Linked DNA regions of Caenorhabditis elegans. The protein of the gene in region 1 purifies or fractionates together with the protein of each later gene. This does not show direct contact. Each region holds a gene or a part of one and is shown on either strand. Other genes may lie near its edges.

Region 1 (5,803 bases):
TCATTAGAAAAACAAGAGAATTCATGATAAAACACGAAAAATCGCCCGAATTCAATTGGATATATCTTTTTGGATATATAATTGAATATATTGGATAGATATATTAATATTTTTATCAATTGATTGTCCCAGAGCAGTACACGACCGGGAATCAAGAAACTTATCTCTTAAGCATATGTCTGGAATTTGTTCTCAAATCATTTTTCTAATCTGCAAAATTGCAAAAATCTGCTCTTTTCCTCCGTAAAACACATTCATCGCCATCTGGAATTCATTGCCGTTCCGTTTCTTTTGTTGTTCTTCACATTTTTGTCCATTGTAATGTTCAGATAGCTGTGCCACAAATTAGAGATGTCTGAAGTGTAATGCCACGTCACTTTCAGAAATCTCCAGAATCTTTCGAAACTTGTTGGCTGACAAGTCGAAGGTACTTTTTTTTTTGAAATCGATCGAGGTGTTGTTGATCCGCGAGTTGAGCAGCTGTCCAGCTGTCGCGTCCAACCCACTCAAAATTGTTGTTTTCGTGAAATGGGAAAAAGTTTGGCCTCTATTTACTGCATAAACATTTTGAAACCTCGACAAACCAGCAAACAAATTGAAACATAAAATAGAAATACGAAATAAATATAATGACGGGGAGGGAGAGCAATGAACTAGAATGCAACAGACAACAATAAATAGAGGAAAGGAAGCGATATGAAAAACAGGAAATAGATTGAAAATTGGGGAAATTAATTGATTGCAGCAAGGGCAAATTTCTGGGCGAGTTCGACGGCAGCATCAAGTTTATCGACATTCTCTCCGGTGAGCTGAGCATTTGCGTCCTTTCCACCACCTTTTCCACCGAGAACTGTGCAAACTTCATTCACCCACTCGTTGGCTTTCAGGCCGTTGCTCACCAAGCTCTGAAAAAATTATATTATTTTTCTGAATTGTTTCAAAATTTCAAATTTCTCACCTTATCAACTTTAGCAAGACACAAAACTTTTCCAGAATCTTCATTCACAGAGAAAGCCATAACTGCTTTTGTGTCCTTGAGAAGTTTCAGAGCATTATCGATGGCTTTGCTGTTAGCATTGGCGGCGAAGACGTGAACGAGAACAGTAGGCTGCTCAGCGACAGCAGCAAGTTCCTTGGCTTCTCCAAGAACCTTTTCAGCGACAGCGGCTTGTTGTGCCTTTGTGTATCCATCCAAAGTCTTCTGAATGGCCTTTGCCTTTTCACGGATAGAATCCTTTCGCCAGTATGGCAGCTGAGCTCCGTTGGCTTCATCGACAATTTCTTGAATCTTCTTCTGGAGAGCCTTGAACTTATCCTTGTTGGCCAAGAGCTCATCCTTCTTATCGGCATGCTTCGATTCTTCTTCTAATCGAGCAGTCAGTCGATCGGCTCTGGCAATGGCTCTTTCAGCTTCTGGTCCTGTCAATGCAACGATACGACGGATTCCTTTAGCAATAGCTTCTTCCGATGCGATGACAATGCGGCCAATGTGAGACACGTTCTGGAGATGGCTGAAATTATAAAAATTATATCAAAATTTAACGGGTATCATCATAAAATATAAAAAGAATTAGTACTCACGTTCCTCCGCAGAACTCGACAGTCGTGTTCTGTCCCTCCTCTGCATCAGGATTCTGGAGAAGTTGCTCAACTGGAGTTCCGACAGCGACAACACGAACTGGATCTGGGTATGTTTCATCAAACATCGCACGAAGTCCCTTGACTTTTTTGGCTTCTCCAAGTGGCGAGTTCTTGGCGTAAACTTGTCCTTTTGTGTCAATCAGCTGTTGAGCGTATTCCTCGGCTTTCTTCACTTGCTGAACAGTCATTCCAGCTTTGTTGGTGAAGTCGAATCTCATACGATCTGGAGCAACGAGTGATCCCTTCTGATCCGAATCGGCGAGAACTTTGCGAAGAGCATAGTTGAGGACATGAGTTCCGGTGTGATTCTTCATGATCAGTTGCTTCCGGTCTTCATCGAATCGTTCGTTGACCTGATCACCGACTGAGAAGCTTCCTTCGGCGGATCCAACAAGCACGATGTATCCACCACGAACTTGGCAGTTGCTCACGTTGAACTCGTTCGACTCGTCATTGACTTTTGTCAAAACTCCGACGTCGTAGATCTGACCTCCCTGCTCGGCGTAGAAATTTGTCCGATCGAGAAGAATGGCTCCTTCTTCTCCGGCAGCAAGTTGATCGACAAACTTTCCGTCTCGGCGAATAGCAAGAATCTTTCCAACGCATGGCTCAAACTCTGAAGAAAAATAATTATTACAAGTTCATAAAAACAAACAAAAAACATACTGTACACAGCATCGGATCCTTCTCCAGTAAACGTGTAAGCGTACTTTGGCGAATCGTCGGTAGTTGGAACTCCCTTCTGTTGAAGCTCAGCCAATGCGTGAACATCCAAATCCAGCGTGTCACGGAACTTTCCAGTTCCAGCTGATGATGTCTCGATGGCTTTCCTGCGAGCCTCCTCGAAAGCAGTATTATCGACAGACAATCCTTTCTCTTCGGCCATCAGTTGAGTCAAGTCAGCTGGGAATCCATATGTATCGTAGAGTCTCCATGAAACATCTCCAGGGAACGTCATGGTTCCTTCTGGAAGCGATTGAACAGCGCGTTGGAAGAGAACACGTCCACGAGACAACGTTTTCAGGAATTGCTTCTCCTCGTCGTTGATGATATCCATGACGGTCACTGGATCACGGCTGAGTTCTGGGAAAGTCTCTCCGAGAATTGAAATAACCACTGGAACGAGTGATGCGAAGAATCCAGGCTGTGCATTCAACTTTTCGCTGGCATAACGAACTCCACGACGAAGAATTCGACGGAGCACATATCCTCTTCCAGAATTATCCGGACGGCCACCATCAGAGAGAGCAATGGTCAATGTTCTGACGTGATCAGCAACTACACGATATGCCATGTCCACTCCGTCTTTGTCTTCGTCACCAATGAAGCCAGTATAGGCACGAACGCCACTTCCTTTGTGAATCGCCTCGAAAATTGGTTGGAAAATGTCCGTATCGTAGTTGCTCGTCTTATCCTGCATCACAGCAATCAATCGTTCGAGTCCAAGACCACAATCGATGTGCTTCGCTGGCAATGGTTTCAGGACGCCTCCTTCCTCGCGATTGAATTGAATGAAGACAAGATTCCAGATTTCAACAACCATTGGATCATCGGCGTTGACAAGATGAGATGCGTCACGATTTCCAATGCGATCATAGTGAATCTCAGAGCATGGTCCACATGGTCCAACATCTCCCATCTCCCAGAAGTTATCCTTCATACCGAAGTTCAAAATGCGCTCGTCTGGCACTCCGACGGATCTCCAGATATCACGAGCTTCAGAGTCGGCGGGGACTCCGTTTGCCTCGTCGCCACCAAAAACCGACACATAAAGACGTTCCGCTGGGATTCCGTATACTGTTGTGAGAAGTTCCCAAGCCCATGTGATGATTTCTTTCTGAAAATTATTTTTTTAAAGAAATTTAATTAACTAAATCAATTTCTAACCTTGAAATAATCACCGAAAGACCAATTTCCAAGCATCTCGAAGTATGTGTGATGGTAGACATCTTTGCCGACATCGTCCAAGTCGTTATGCTTTCCACCGGCGCGAATGCACTTCTGCGTGTTCACGGCTCTTTTCAGCTTGGCAAGGTCGCTGTTTGGATCGGCGATTCCGAGGAACAACGGCTTGAACTGAAAATTTTAATTATTAATTGCAAGAAAAGCCGTTTGAATATTCTTACTTGGTTCATTCCCGCGTTGGCGAAAAGAAGAGTTGGGTCATCGTGCGGAATAACAGACGACGAATGTACATAAGTGTGCTCCTTCTTCTCTCGGAAAAAGTTGATGAAGGTAGAGCGGACCTCTGAGGCAGTCAGGTGCTTCATAGTAACCCAGGAGAGGTTGCTCTGAAAGAAAAAACTTTAAAATTGTTTTTGCTAACTTATAAACGACGAAAAATAGGGGAGGCGAGATTACGAGAGATTTCGCAATGAATCGAATTCGATTCGGTGCGAATTGGGTGCGAGAACGAGGAAGCTGAACAAAGAAAAATCGAAACAGTGCGCGGAAGAAAGCGGAAGCGCGGAAAAAGACAAGAATAGCGAATAAAATGAAGAATGAGTGCGGGAAACATTTCAGTGAGGTGGGCGGAGTCCAAACGCAAGCGCCGCACACTTTCTATGAAAACCGCGGGAAAACTTCATTTTCAAAATTTAATTTTTTGCGGTAGAAAATTTGGTCAATTTCTTTCATTTTTATCATCAAAATGAAATAGGAATGAACGCAAATCCATTTGTAAACGATTCGATTCATAAAAGACCCAGCACACATTGTTCTCTTTTCCATCTCTAAAATTTGTGTAGTCTCTCACTCGGTAAAACTTGTCAACACCGCATTCAATATGTTTTTCTGTGGAGCAATAAATTGATTTTCATTTGAAAAAAAAACAACTGGATAGATAATAAGATAGTGCCGAACATGATAATTTTAAGAAAATTGGGAAATTACAAAAAAACCCGAAAAAAGTGTTAAATCTGAAAAACTGATATATCTGTGAACCTTTAGTTTTAGAATTACGTGGAATAGATTTTTAGTACAGGAACACAAAATTCTGAGAATGCGTATTGAGCAGCATTTTGCGAGCAAAATATCTCGTAGCGAAAACTACAGTAATTATGTAAATGACTACTGTGGTGTCGATTTACGGGCTCGTTTTTCGAAAACAATTAAAATAATTGATTAATCGATATAATACTAATAGTAAGCGAAAAATGAGAAAATAATACGAAGAACCGAAGGAAAATGGAATATCACTGTCGCTCTTCAGAAATAAAATCTCTTGTCTTGTCAGATCGATAAATTCAAGCTGGTCATTGAGTTGCTCTTTTTCTCCGAAAGACTCACTCTAATCTTTGATTGAAAATCGTTGTATTTTTTTTTAATTTTACATTTATTTAAACTTTCTTCATTTTCTCAACTGGATATTAATTTAGTTGTATAGCATAACTTTAAACCAAGTACGCAACATTACAGAATTTTTTCTAGAATGTCCGTCAAATTATTCTCTCTACCAAGTGTGGTTCATTCACAATTGCTCAAGGAAATGAATGAACCAGACGTTTTCATTTTATCTCTTTGTTCGAAAAAATCTGCATCGGTCGTTCGAAAGCGAATCCTGGAGGTGCCTTCTATAGAACATACGTTCACGAGAACAGATTCTTTTCATATGCATGGTTTGAATGTAGAGAGCAAGAAATATAGACTTCAGCTACTATTTACAAGTGATCCATCGCCAAAAAAATTGATCTTTATACTGAAGACAAAGCTACTTCTTATTGGGTTATTCAAGTAATTTTAGAAACGAAGAATCAATTAAGAAGAAGTACAAAATATTGTGAGGTTTATTTTAAACCATTTACAAACTTATTTACAATTTACCAATAACTTATATATATATATACCAGCCGTTCGCACGCGCTGAAGCGCGTGCTCCGACTGGCGTACTCAAAATTGAAATCAAATTCTAAATTTTCTAAGCCTTCTTTGCAGATGGAACGTTTTTTCCCTGATTACCGGAAATTTTCGAGCAACATAAATATTATATAACTAAGTTCTGAGCAATTACAACTTAAAACCTCAAGTTTCCTGGAACTATTTCTAAATTTCTTGAACGTATAATTTTCTCTATGTTCTTCAAATCATATGAAACATTTTCCGGTCCTTTCCGAAAGTTTTTGGCGAGCGTTTCTGAAAATTATAACAATTTTTGATATTTTTT
Region 2 (4,007 bases), on another chromosome or scaffold:
AATGGTCTTGATCATGACAATGAACATTTGGAAATGGCTAAAAATATTGGAAATGTTTGTCATAAAATGTATGAAAATCCAACAGGACTTGGACCAGAAATAATACATTTCAATATGGAGGATAGTTCTGATATGACACAAGCGGATACTTATGTGAAGAATCTTGATGCTCATTCACTTCTCCGTCCAGAAGCAATTGAAGCGTGGTTCTATTTGTATCGTGTTACTAAAGATAAGAAATATCAAGAGTGGGGATGGAAAGCTTTTGAGTCGATTGAAAAGTATGCAAAAGTGGAAACTGGTGGATACAGCTCAATTGACAATGTGCTCAGAAAGAAGATCAAAAGGTTTGTCAGCATTTTGTTTAATTTTTAATCATTCAAATTCAGACGTGACAAAATGGAATCATTCTTCCTTGCTGAGACCCTCAAATACCTTTACCTTCTAATGGCTGATGATCAAGAAATCCTTCCACTCGATCGATGGGTTCTCAACACTGAAGCCCACCCACTTCCAATTTACAATTGACTGATGCTGTATTTTTCACTTTTTGACGGGTTTTTAGAATTTATTTTTACCAAAAACAAAACGTTTGTCTAACAAATAAACTATAACACATGTATCTATTGCATTCTGATCAATCTTCCATGAATTTCTTCATTAACTGGCCAATACTGCGTCTTTCCAACAACTGCTGCAGAGACCTGTCCTTCAAGGAATACACGTCGGCAAACATCTCGGAGCTGCTGGACTGTGATTGATTCGATTCGGGCATGTAATTCTGGAGTTGGTATCCGACGACCGTAGCAAAGGAGTTGTCGACCAATATCTTCACAGACTGGAGTTGAGCCATCGAGCATTAGGAGTAGATTCGTATGCAGGGAGCGCTTGGCACGATCAACCGCTGCTTCATCAATGTCTGGAAATGAAAGATGTTGACTCAGGACTATGTTAAATAAAAACTCACTGTTCGCAAGCCAAACCCATTGTTGAAGAACTGAATCAATAAGATTGTCGATGGATTCCGGAGCAGCTACGAAATAAGTTCCAACTAATCCTGTCTCCTGAATTACAGAAATATGTAAAAAGAGTTTTTTTTCCCAGGAATTCATTACTTTATAGCACGTGTTAAATGATTGGAAAACCTCAATTCCTGCGTCTTGTGACAATTTTTCAGCCAAGCGAGTTGGAGCATTCACGCCGAATCCACGCATACGATCGTATTCACCCATTAGCTGGAATGATGAACTATCAACTTCTAAGTTATAAAAATATTTTTTAAAAAAGTACCGTATTAGCCACCATAAGGGCAAGATTATCTTCATGGGTCCAAGATACTCCTTCGACAACCATCGCTCCGTACAACATTGGAAGATCTGGAATGTCACCTCGAACCTGAAATGTAAACATTTAAAAATATATTTTGTTAATTCTATTTAATATTTGCTGATAGCGAATTTATTCAAACAAAAACTGACTTCACAGGGACTGTAAGTGGCTGGGACGAATTCAGTTGAAGAATCTCCATGCTTGAGCTCTCCGAAATATTTTTCTGCCATTTTAACAATCGCATCATGATTGACACCTCCGGCTGCTGCTAATACCATTCTGCCACTTCGATAATGTGTATTAATATATCCTTGAAGATCATTCTTATTGATTGTTTGAATTAATTCAATTGGACCAAGAATTGTATAGGAAAGAGGATTTCCTTTGAAAACATCAGCATGAAGAATATCAAATACAACTTCTTGAAAGTTTTGTGCAACTTCTTCCATTTCTCGAATAATTACACCACGTTCTGCTTCGATATCTTTAGTGGCAAGACTGCTGTTCAGAAGAATATCCGAAAGAATATCGACGGCTGCAATTCGGAATAGATATTTTAAAAATTGCATTAATAATTTTATTTCTTACATTGGTCAAGCTTTTCTGTAAAACATTTAGCATAATACGTCGTGCTTTCTCTAGAAGTGTACGCATTTAGATGAGCTCCAATATTTTCAACTTCAAGCTCCAATCCCATTCGAGTCCGGCGAGGCGTTCCCTGAAAAATTCGGATTTTTATATGAAATTCAAAATTTTCTAAAAATTAAATTAAACTAACTTTGAACGCCATATGCTCTAGAAAATGAGCTGTTCCATTGTTTTTCTCATTCTCGTAGCGACTGCCGGCATCAATAAATACTCCGATCTAATAAAAATAGCTTTGAACAAACAAATAATTTAGGAAAAATAATTACAGTAGCAGTAGATCCACCTGTGTTTTCTGTTGCAACTCTGAACCCATTCGGAAGTGTCGTTACAATTGTTTCTGGGACAAATACTGATTTCGGCTGAACTTGTGCGATTCTTCTTTGGGAAGTCTGAAAAATAAATTACTTTCACTGTAAACAAAATTGTTTAAATTACCTGATATAAGCCGGAGGCTAGTCTTCTGTACATTTATCTGAAAAAAATTTATATGCTCTATTTTCAAGGAAACAATGGTTACGCAATAGTGAAGCTCAATTTGTCGGCTAAACACAAACAAATCTACGTAATACTGGAATAAAAATCTTTTTGCTGACATTGATACAACAAAACGATTAGAGTAACGAATTAAACAAAAATTGAACAGAATTGCAGAAAATGCTTCTAAAAAAGTGAAATTAACTTTGTCCACGAGGTGTACGTAGCGAATGGAAGAACTTTCACAAACGCGGCCGCCGCGGGCAAAAAGGCGGAAGTTTGAATAAAAGATTTTGAACAATTGCACGCGGTATTTCATAACTTCGGAATTTCCAATTAATTTTTCAGATTATGCAGACATATAAAATTTCGAACCAAATAAAAAACATCAAGGGGCTCTCGTTTAGAGCTTGTATTTTTGGAAAACGATGTCCAGGGAAACGGTAATTTTGGAAATGTCCTTTCGGGGATTATTTATAATCGCGCACAAACAGGAGTGGGTATCTAGCGATCCTTATTCATGATTACAAGAGAACAAAAGAGCATATCGTGTTTTTTTAATATCTAGAGCCAAATGTTCATAATAAGTTCTGATCATTTCATAATGAATCAATTTCTAGAAATTAAAAAAAAAAACGATATAATCTGAAAACTCTTACTACCACAGTACAACTACAGTAACCCAACAGTATCTCTCCATGAACTCCAACTCAGTATCCCATCAAAAGAAAACAACTGAAATTTACTAGAACTACTTGAGAACAAACTAAAACTGTGACCTATGCATTTTTAAAAAATATTCATACATTTGTTCATATCTAGAATATATGTACTATGAAAATTAATTTTTAATTCGTATGTAGTAAAAAATCATTAGTAAAGGATACAATCCTTGTCATTGTAGTAAAAATGTCCACCGTAACAAAAGATACAAACTGTAGCAAAAGATCGAAATGGGATAACGGAGTAAAAAATACGGTTGTAGCAAAAGAGTAAAACGTCGTAAAAGATCTATGTATGCAAATCATAGTAAAAGAGATCACGTAGTAAGAGATCAAGTAGTAAAACAGTATTTGCCCTTGTTTTATTGACGATCATGATAAAACAATAAAATTTGAACATAATAAAACACTTTCACACAAATATTTAGCTAGTATTGAAAATTAAGCATTTCATGAAGCATTGAATCACAGTTGAGAACATTGAAAACTGTGAGCATCACGTAAGAAGTTGTGAGTTTTTGAGCAGATTCCTGTAATATCCTTTGTTTGCTGGATAGCTGTTATACAAAAATAAACAAACCCTGAGATAATTCATACTCATCAGAAGTTCTCCAACACGATGCTCTCCGCCTCCACCTGGTGAATGACACATTTTTGATAGAAAGCCAATTATGATATTCCTTTGTCTACGACATTTTTCACGGCCATTTTCAGTTAGCTTGAAGTATGCTGAAATTATTGAAGGATTAATTTGAAAGTTGAATACATTTTTTTAAAAAGATTATGAACTTATGTATATCGTATTTGAATTTTTATTTAAAACAAATCTAAATG
Region 3 (6,087 bases), on another chromosome or scaffold:
TTTTTTTATTTTGGTATCTGGTTTCAATTTTAAAAACATGGTTTTTTTAAAAATAAATATTATTAATAAGTTCTCTGCAACAAAACAATATAATAGCAAACAACCCTTTTCAGATAAAACGTATTGCTATTTTTCCTGAAAGTTCAGTTTGAAAAAGCGTTTAATTTGTTTGACTCTCTGTTGAATTTCCTATTTTATATATGCTTATTTTTTCTCGAATAAATAAGTATGGCGTCAAAAAATTCGTTTAAATCAAAAACCAATTTTTATCATCATGTCGACGAAATAGCTTGGCTTGGGGACACACAAGGTCTAACAAATAAGAATGAAGCTCATAACAGCGCAAAAAACAAGCCGTTTTGCTTCACTTTGCCGGCTTATGTCACAGGGCTTAGGCTTAGGATTTTTTTTGGTTTAGCCTTAGGCTCATTTTTAGGCTTAGTCTTAGGCACTTAGGCATTATTTCCAGTTATTCGCTTTCCTGAAAATTGTTAAAAATCTACTTGAAAATCCGGGTTGTTAGGTGACTACAAAAAAGGTTTAAAAAATTGGAAATCCAATCAATAAATTCTTTATTCGCAAAAATCGAGGAAAATCAATTGCCGTGGATAATGAAGTGTGCAACTTTTGTGACTGTTCCCTGGAATAATAAAATATTTTTACACGGTTATGGTGTTTGCAAGGCACCAAAATTGCGCAAACAAGTTTTCTATTGCATGGGGAGCACGCTCAAAAAATTTCAGAGCTCTGTGTCTACTAAGAGCAAAGTTAGGGTAACTGCAAGTTTTGACATGCGTCGTGTGTCGCTAGGACTTTCAAACCACCTTAACTTTGCTCAAAATGTGGCTACAGCTCTGAAATTTTCTGTGGTTCATTTTTTTCATCTAATTTGATGTTCTGAATTAAAACGCTAAAGTTTCAAAAATTTCATGAGTTTCGTGTCGCGTCGCGGTCCAGCCATGAAATTTCACACAGAAACTTAAAAGTACGTACTCCTGGATTCGAAGCTTTGACACGACGCTGTCTCATCTGACAATTGAAATCCTTGACGTCATCATCGATTTCTTGAAGCTTCTTCTGCAAAAAAATCAATATTTATTTTCCATATTAGGCAATCACTCACCAAATGAGCGGCGCTCTGTGGATACACGGCTTCCGTCACAAATTGCAAACGTTCCATGTTTTCACAGGCCATCGATAGATGTGCGGCAACTCGTTCTGCACACTTTTCCGCTTCAATTGTGCCGTAAAACGCCGGATTTTGAGCAAGGATGACGTCATCGAGTTCCACGTCATCATCATCTTCAACTGGAACATTCACGTTCAGGTCGTCAATATCATCGTCTTTTGGAACTCGGTTAGCAGAGAAACTATCGATTTTCACCTCATCATTTCGACAATTTGATATGCGAATTTTTTGGTAGGATTTCGGTTGGAGGTGGCTGAAACTAGGAAAATTAGGGCTTCAAATTTAATGATCAAGAATTGCGTCATGGCACGAAAAATACGCCAAGGAGCAATGATGACGTCATCATATTAACAATTACATTGGGAGCGTTCACAAAAAATTTTGAAAGTCTTCGAACAGTGCGAGCAAAGTTACAGTGGTTCAAAACTTTAGTCTGCGTCGCGGTTTTTCTCAATACTTCAAATCTACGTAACTGTTCAAAATCTACGTAACTGTTCAAAATTGTTCAAAATGCTCGTAGAGCTGTGTATTGATTTCTCTGTATTGATTTCTGATGTATGTATGTATACTACTGTTAACGCCTTAACGCAAAACTCGTGCCTTGGCGCGTTTCTAGTGCAAACTCACCACACATCCTGAATGACTTGAGTCGCCGCTTCATTGATAGTCACATGTCTTTTGGTGGTTTTTGTGACTTTTTGCTTTGTCTCGGGCAGTTTTTTCAGTTTCAGGCGGTGTTGGTAGGCGTCGAAGGCGTCGGATGCCGTGCGGTTGTTGTACTGAAAATTTTTTGAATTGAATGTACGTAATAATACACAGCTAGCCACACAAAAAATTTCAAATCAATCCACTGGGAGCAAAGTTACAACTAGTCAAAGCAAACAACCTGCGACGCGGTCGATTAATCTTATAAGAAACTTCAAGGCCTGGTAACACTGCTCAAAATAGTCTTATCGAACTGAAATTTCAGGTATGTCTTTCTGATAGGATGTCCAACAAGCCAACAAAATGATAGAGCCTTGGCGCAATTCTCGACCCACCTTTCTCTTATCAAATGGCTGATAAATCCACGTGGCAAGTGCCTTTGGTTGCTCCGCCGCTGCACGATCCCAGTTCGTGACATATACATTCCTTTTCTTCGGTTTTTCCACAATTTTTTGCTGAAAATAAAAATATATATTGATTTATTGATTTTTAGTCCAAAAAATCAAAAAATCAATACATTTCCGGTCGGAATCTGACGATAGATAGTTGTTAAAAATGGCATTTTGTACAGCGATCAAATTTTGAAATGATTTTTTTCCAATATTCTCACCTTGAGGGGACATTTGACACGTGGCGACACTACGGTGATTTGTTCACGTGAAAATTCCAAAATTGACAGTGATGAGGTGGTGGAGCCGGTGGTGCCGTCTGCATAAAATCGATAATCAAAAAAAAGAACGTGAAAAAATATCGCTTTTTACTTAAAATCAAAAATATTTTCGAAGTATTGATTTTTAGGAATTACAGGGTGGGCCAAAAGTATGGTAACACGTTTGCAGCTCTATAACTTTACTAGTGGAGAGAGTTATTACATCAATTTGTACAAGTTTTGTTCTCCATAAAATACTGACCAGATGAACGTTTTGAATTTTCAAAATATATCCATCCGCATTGCTGCAGGCCTTCAGAACTTTTGAGATCACGATCTTTATGGCACGCAAGTCGGCATTCTGCGGGATTTCTACATTTTTCTTGAGGAATCCATAAAGTGTCTTACAAGTTTTTATAGTTCAAAGAATGCCCTTGGTCTAGAGATTCTTTAAAAACAAAAATCAAAATATTTTCTATCACGGTATTTCTGTCATGGACTGCGGCAGTAGGTTAAGTCTTGAATGGCATAGTCGCCAGAAAGATGGATGTGAGCGGCGAGTAGCAGTATTCAGATAAATTTATTTTAGTATTTTTCGAGACGTTTTGACCTGACTTTCCAGAATTTTTTTAGAAAATTGAGCTCGGATGATTTTGTGGGTCGTTACGCCTTGCGAAACCAAAAAAACTGAGTAAATTTCGCAAAGTTGAATTCATGAAATATACAAAGGTTCTTGCTAGGCGCCAGTGTCGACACAGAACATTTTTATATGCTACAAAAACAATTAAAAACGCTTCTTCACTTCTTTAACTTTCAATTTAACATAAAAATCATACATCTGAAAATTATTGGCGTGCGTGGGAGGTGTGTTTGTGTGGGAAGTGCCGCGTGCCAAATTACCGTTTTTTCGAAAGGGTTCGCCAAATTGTCGAGGTGATAAAGATCGCACCTTATTGGGAAACATTACAAATTTTGAGTCAAATTGAAGGAAATTTATTCAGCTATCAGTATTCGATAGAAGAATGTACGTATGACGTGGCAGTCGCGCGAAAAGCTCATGTAAAAGAGCGCTTCATGTGTTACCATACTTTTGGCCCACCCTGTATGCTATTTTTACCAACAAAAAAATCAATAATTCGAAAATTTTAATTTTAACTCTTTTCTGGAACAAAAATCGATAATTACACGTAGGTGAAAATTTTTGTGTAAAATATAGATTTTACGGAAAAATCGATATTTTCTAAATTTTCAAAATATTTATTTTTGAGAAATTATCGATTTTTGAACAGAAACAACAAAAACTATCAGTTTTTCCCGACTCTCAAACTCACAGCAGACGTAATACGGATTACGACGAGTGCCGGCGGTACAGACGTTGTCCCAGATGTGAGAATTTTTCTGAAAAATATACGGTATCGTGAATTGCGCAAGCAAATGCTGGCGCATTTCTCGTGCACCTCACCTTTGATTGTCTGCAGTTCATTGGAGTAATGTGAATAAGCGGCGAGTAATAAATGTGGTATTGACGAGTATAAAAGTGAGAAATAATTGAAATTTATCGATTTTATCAATCTCACGGATTATCGATTATTGTTGAGAATAACAAAATTCGAAAAGGCCACGTGAAGATTTAATTTCAAAAACAGTTTTATTTAAAAAAATATATCGATAATTATTACATTTTCTTTCTTTTTTTCAAATTGAGATCATGACAATACAAAAATCAATAAATTAATGAGAAAAAATCTATAAGACTCCCGAGTAGAAACCATTTTCCACGACATTAGATTTCAGAGTTACATACTTTCCATCTTCCTGTAAAAATCGATAAATTTTGAATGATCGGTAATCTGCCATTTTCAATTTTTGACAAATCGATAATGTGAAGTTTTAATTTTTTTTTTTTGAAAAGTCGATAATATGAAATTTTAATTTTTGAAAAATTGATAATTTTTTATTAATTTCCGGAAAATCCATCATTTGAAATTTTTCATTTACGAAAAACATTATTTTTTATTCACAAAAGCCAAGAAATCAATTGTCGTGGATAATAAAGTGTGCAACTTTTGTGGCAGTTCCCTAGGTTAATGAAATATTTTAACGCGACTTTGGTGTTTGCACGAGAATAGAGCCAAGACACCAAATTTGAGTCAGATATCATGATAACCAATATGGCTTAATGCTACGAAAATAACTTAAATTATCTTCTAAAAATCTCGGAATTAAGCATTGTTGGTGCAAGACTAATAGAAATAATACGGTATATGTTTTTTAATCTACAGTTGGTCAAATATTTCATTGCGAGGTCAATCTGGGTTGTGATGGTTTAACGTCGAATTGTAACTTTTTTGCTGCCATCCCATCAAATTGAACAAAAAACTTACAGCTTTTTATAATATAGAAACAATTTTGGATGCTATCATGTCATAAATATTATAGTTCTATATTTATCAGTCGGCTTCTATGTAAGAAGCATTTAGAATTTCTTCGTCATTGTGAACAATAGATGATTATTGTCAGCTTTTAATTATTATTTTTGCAATTGGACAAATTTCAAACACATTTTCAGTACATCTACAAAAATTGACAACGGTGAAGTAAACTACGATGTCGCATTGGTTTATTAAATTTCAAAATGATGACTAGAAATGCGAACAGTCATCAAATTACATGGATTTTCACAATATTTGGATTCTCTTCATCAACTTGAACTTCAGCTTCTGACAATGAAATTTCTGATAAAGTATTATTCACCGATTGAACATCTGAGGGTATTGTTATTTCCTCATTTGATACTGGAGAGCATGCAGGTGCGGCTGGTGTCGTTTTTGATGGGTCGGATGTTGAACCATCCTTCAAATCTTTTGCCTTTTGTCTTGAATTCGTTAATATTTTTTTGATAGCTATTGAAATGTGCCCATCCTTGTTGAGGTATAGGAAAATGAGAAAAAGAGCAATTAACATGAAGCCGAAACCAATGATGAAATCAAAAACTGCCATGTTTGAAGTTCTGGAATTCTTTGAAGTAGAAATCATTTGTATCCTATATGTTTTTGAATTGGAAAAAACTTACAGCTTCTGAAAATATAGAATCAATTTTAAATGTCATTTTTGTCATAAATATAATAGCTTTTGTACTTTTCAGACGGCTGCTTCTAGGTGTTAAGAATTCCGAAGTTTTTTTTGTTATCGCAAACAATTGATGATGATTTATTTTGGAAATGTGACTAATAATATTTAATTGTGAAACTTTTTCGTTATTATTTTCCCGATGAAACAAATTATTTGGCGAGAAAAACATTGGTTTCAATTTTTTTTTCGTACTTTTGAGGGCTACCTGCAAGTGAAAAAATTCTTTAATTGTTTCGTAGGTGCATTGCTTCATTGTGATGTGGGGAACGTTACTGAGAATGTGAAAAAAAAGAAAAGAATGCTGCATGCATCAGGGTTGTGCGGCAAATTTGCCGAGCTCGGCAAATTTCGAAATTACAGAATTCAGTAGTTTTGTTGCTCCAAGGAACATCAAAAAATATCAAATTTTTGG

Evidence for each region.
Region 2: the proteins of aars-2 (region 1) and mppb-1 fractionate together in Caenorhabditis elegans (co-fractionation; one large-scale study listed by BioGRID). This does not show direct contact.
Region 3: the proteins of aars-2 (region 1) and C30G7.3 fractionate together in Caenorhabditis elegans (co-fractionation; one large-scale study listed by BioGRID). This does not show direct contact.

What each region holds. Positions count from the first base shown.
Region 1 is NC_003279.8:3,981,313-3,987,115, reverse strand, and holds aars-2 (Alanine--tRNA ligase, cytoplasmic), read right to left. Parts: upstream 3,934-5,803; 5' UTR 3,912-3,933; coding exon 3,768-3,911; intron 3,718-3,767; coding exon 3,529-3,717; intron 3,479-3,528; coding exon 2,308-3,478; intron 2,258-2,307; coding exon 1,582-2,257; intron 1,512-1,581; coding exon 959-1,511; intron 906-958; coding exon 732-905; 3' UTR 535-731; downstream 1-534. UniProt on the Caenorhabditis elegans protein: Catalyzes the attachment of alanine to tRNA(Ala) in a two-step reaction: alanine is first activated by ATP to form Ala-AMP and then transferred to the acceptor end of tRNA(Ala). Also edits incorrectly charged tRNA(Ala) via its editing domain.
Region 2 is NC_003282.8:9,073,115-9,077,121, reverse strand, and holds mppb-1 (Mitochondrial-processing peptidase subunit beta), read right to left. Parts: upstream 2,450-4,007; 5' UTR 2,446-2,449; coding exon 2,413-2,445; intron 2,367-2,412; coding exon 2,244-2,366; intron 2,195-2,243; coding exon 2,108-2,194; intron 2,048-2,107; coding exon 1,918-2,047; intron 1,865-1,917; coding exon 1,479-1,864; intron 1,396-1,478; coding exon 1,291-1,395; intron 1,236-1,290; coding exon 1,116-1,235; intron 1,065-1,115; coding exon 968-1,064; intron 920-967; coding exon 624-919; 3' UTR 551-623; downstream 1-550. Other genes in the region: mans-4 (alpha-1,2-Mannosidase), read left to right, coding at 1-347, 390-528; Nuclear hormone receptor family member nhr-11, read right to left, coding at 3,602-3,703, 3,754-3,902. UniProt on the Caenorhabditis elegans protein: Catalytic subunit of the essential mitochondrial processing protease (MPP), which cleaves the mitochondrial sequence off newly imported precursors proteins. Preferentially, cleaves after an arginine at position P2.
Region 3 is NC_003283.11:14,941,580-14,947,666, forward strand, and holds C30G7.3 (MADF domain-containing protein), read right to left. Parts: upstream 4,126-6,087; 5' UTR 4,027-4,125; coding exon 4,006-4,026; intron 3,942-4,005; coding exon 3,875-3,941; intron 2,603-3,874; coding exon 2,505-2,602; intron 2,350-2,504; coding exon 2,230-2,349; intron 1,969-2,229; coding exon 1,817-1,968; intron 1,443-1,816; coding exon 1,124-1,442; intron 1,078-1,123; coding exon 994-1,077; intron 641-993; coding exon 596-640; 3' UTR 551-595; downstream 1-550. Other genes in the region: C30G7.4 (Matrix-remodeling-associated protein 7), read right to left, coding at 5,205-5,543.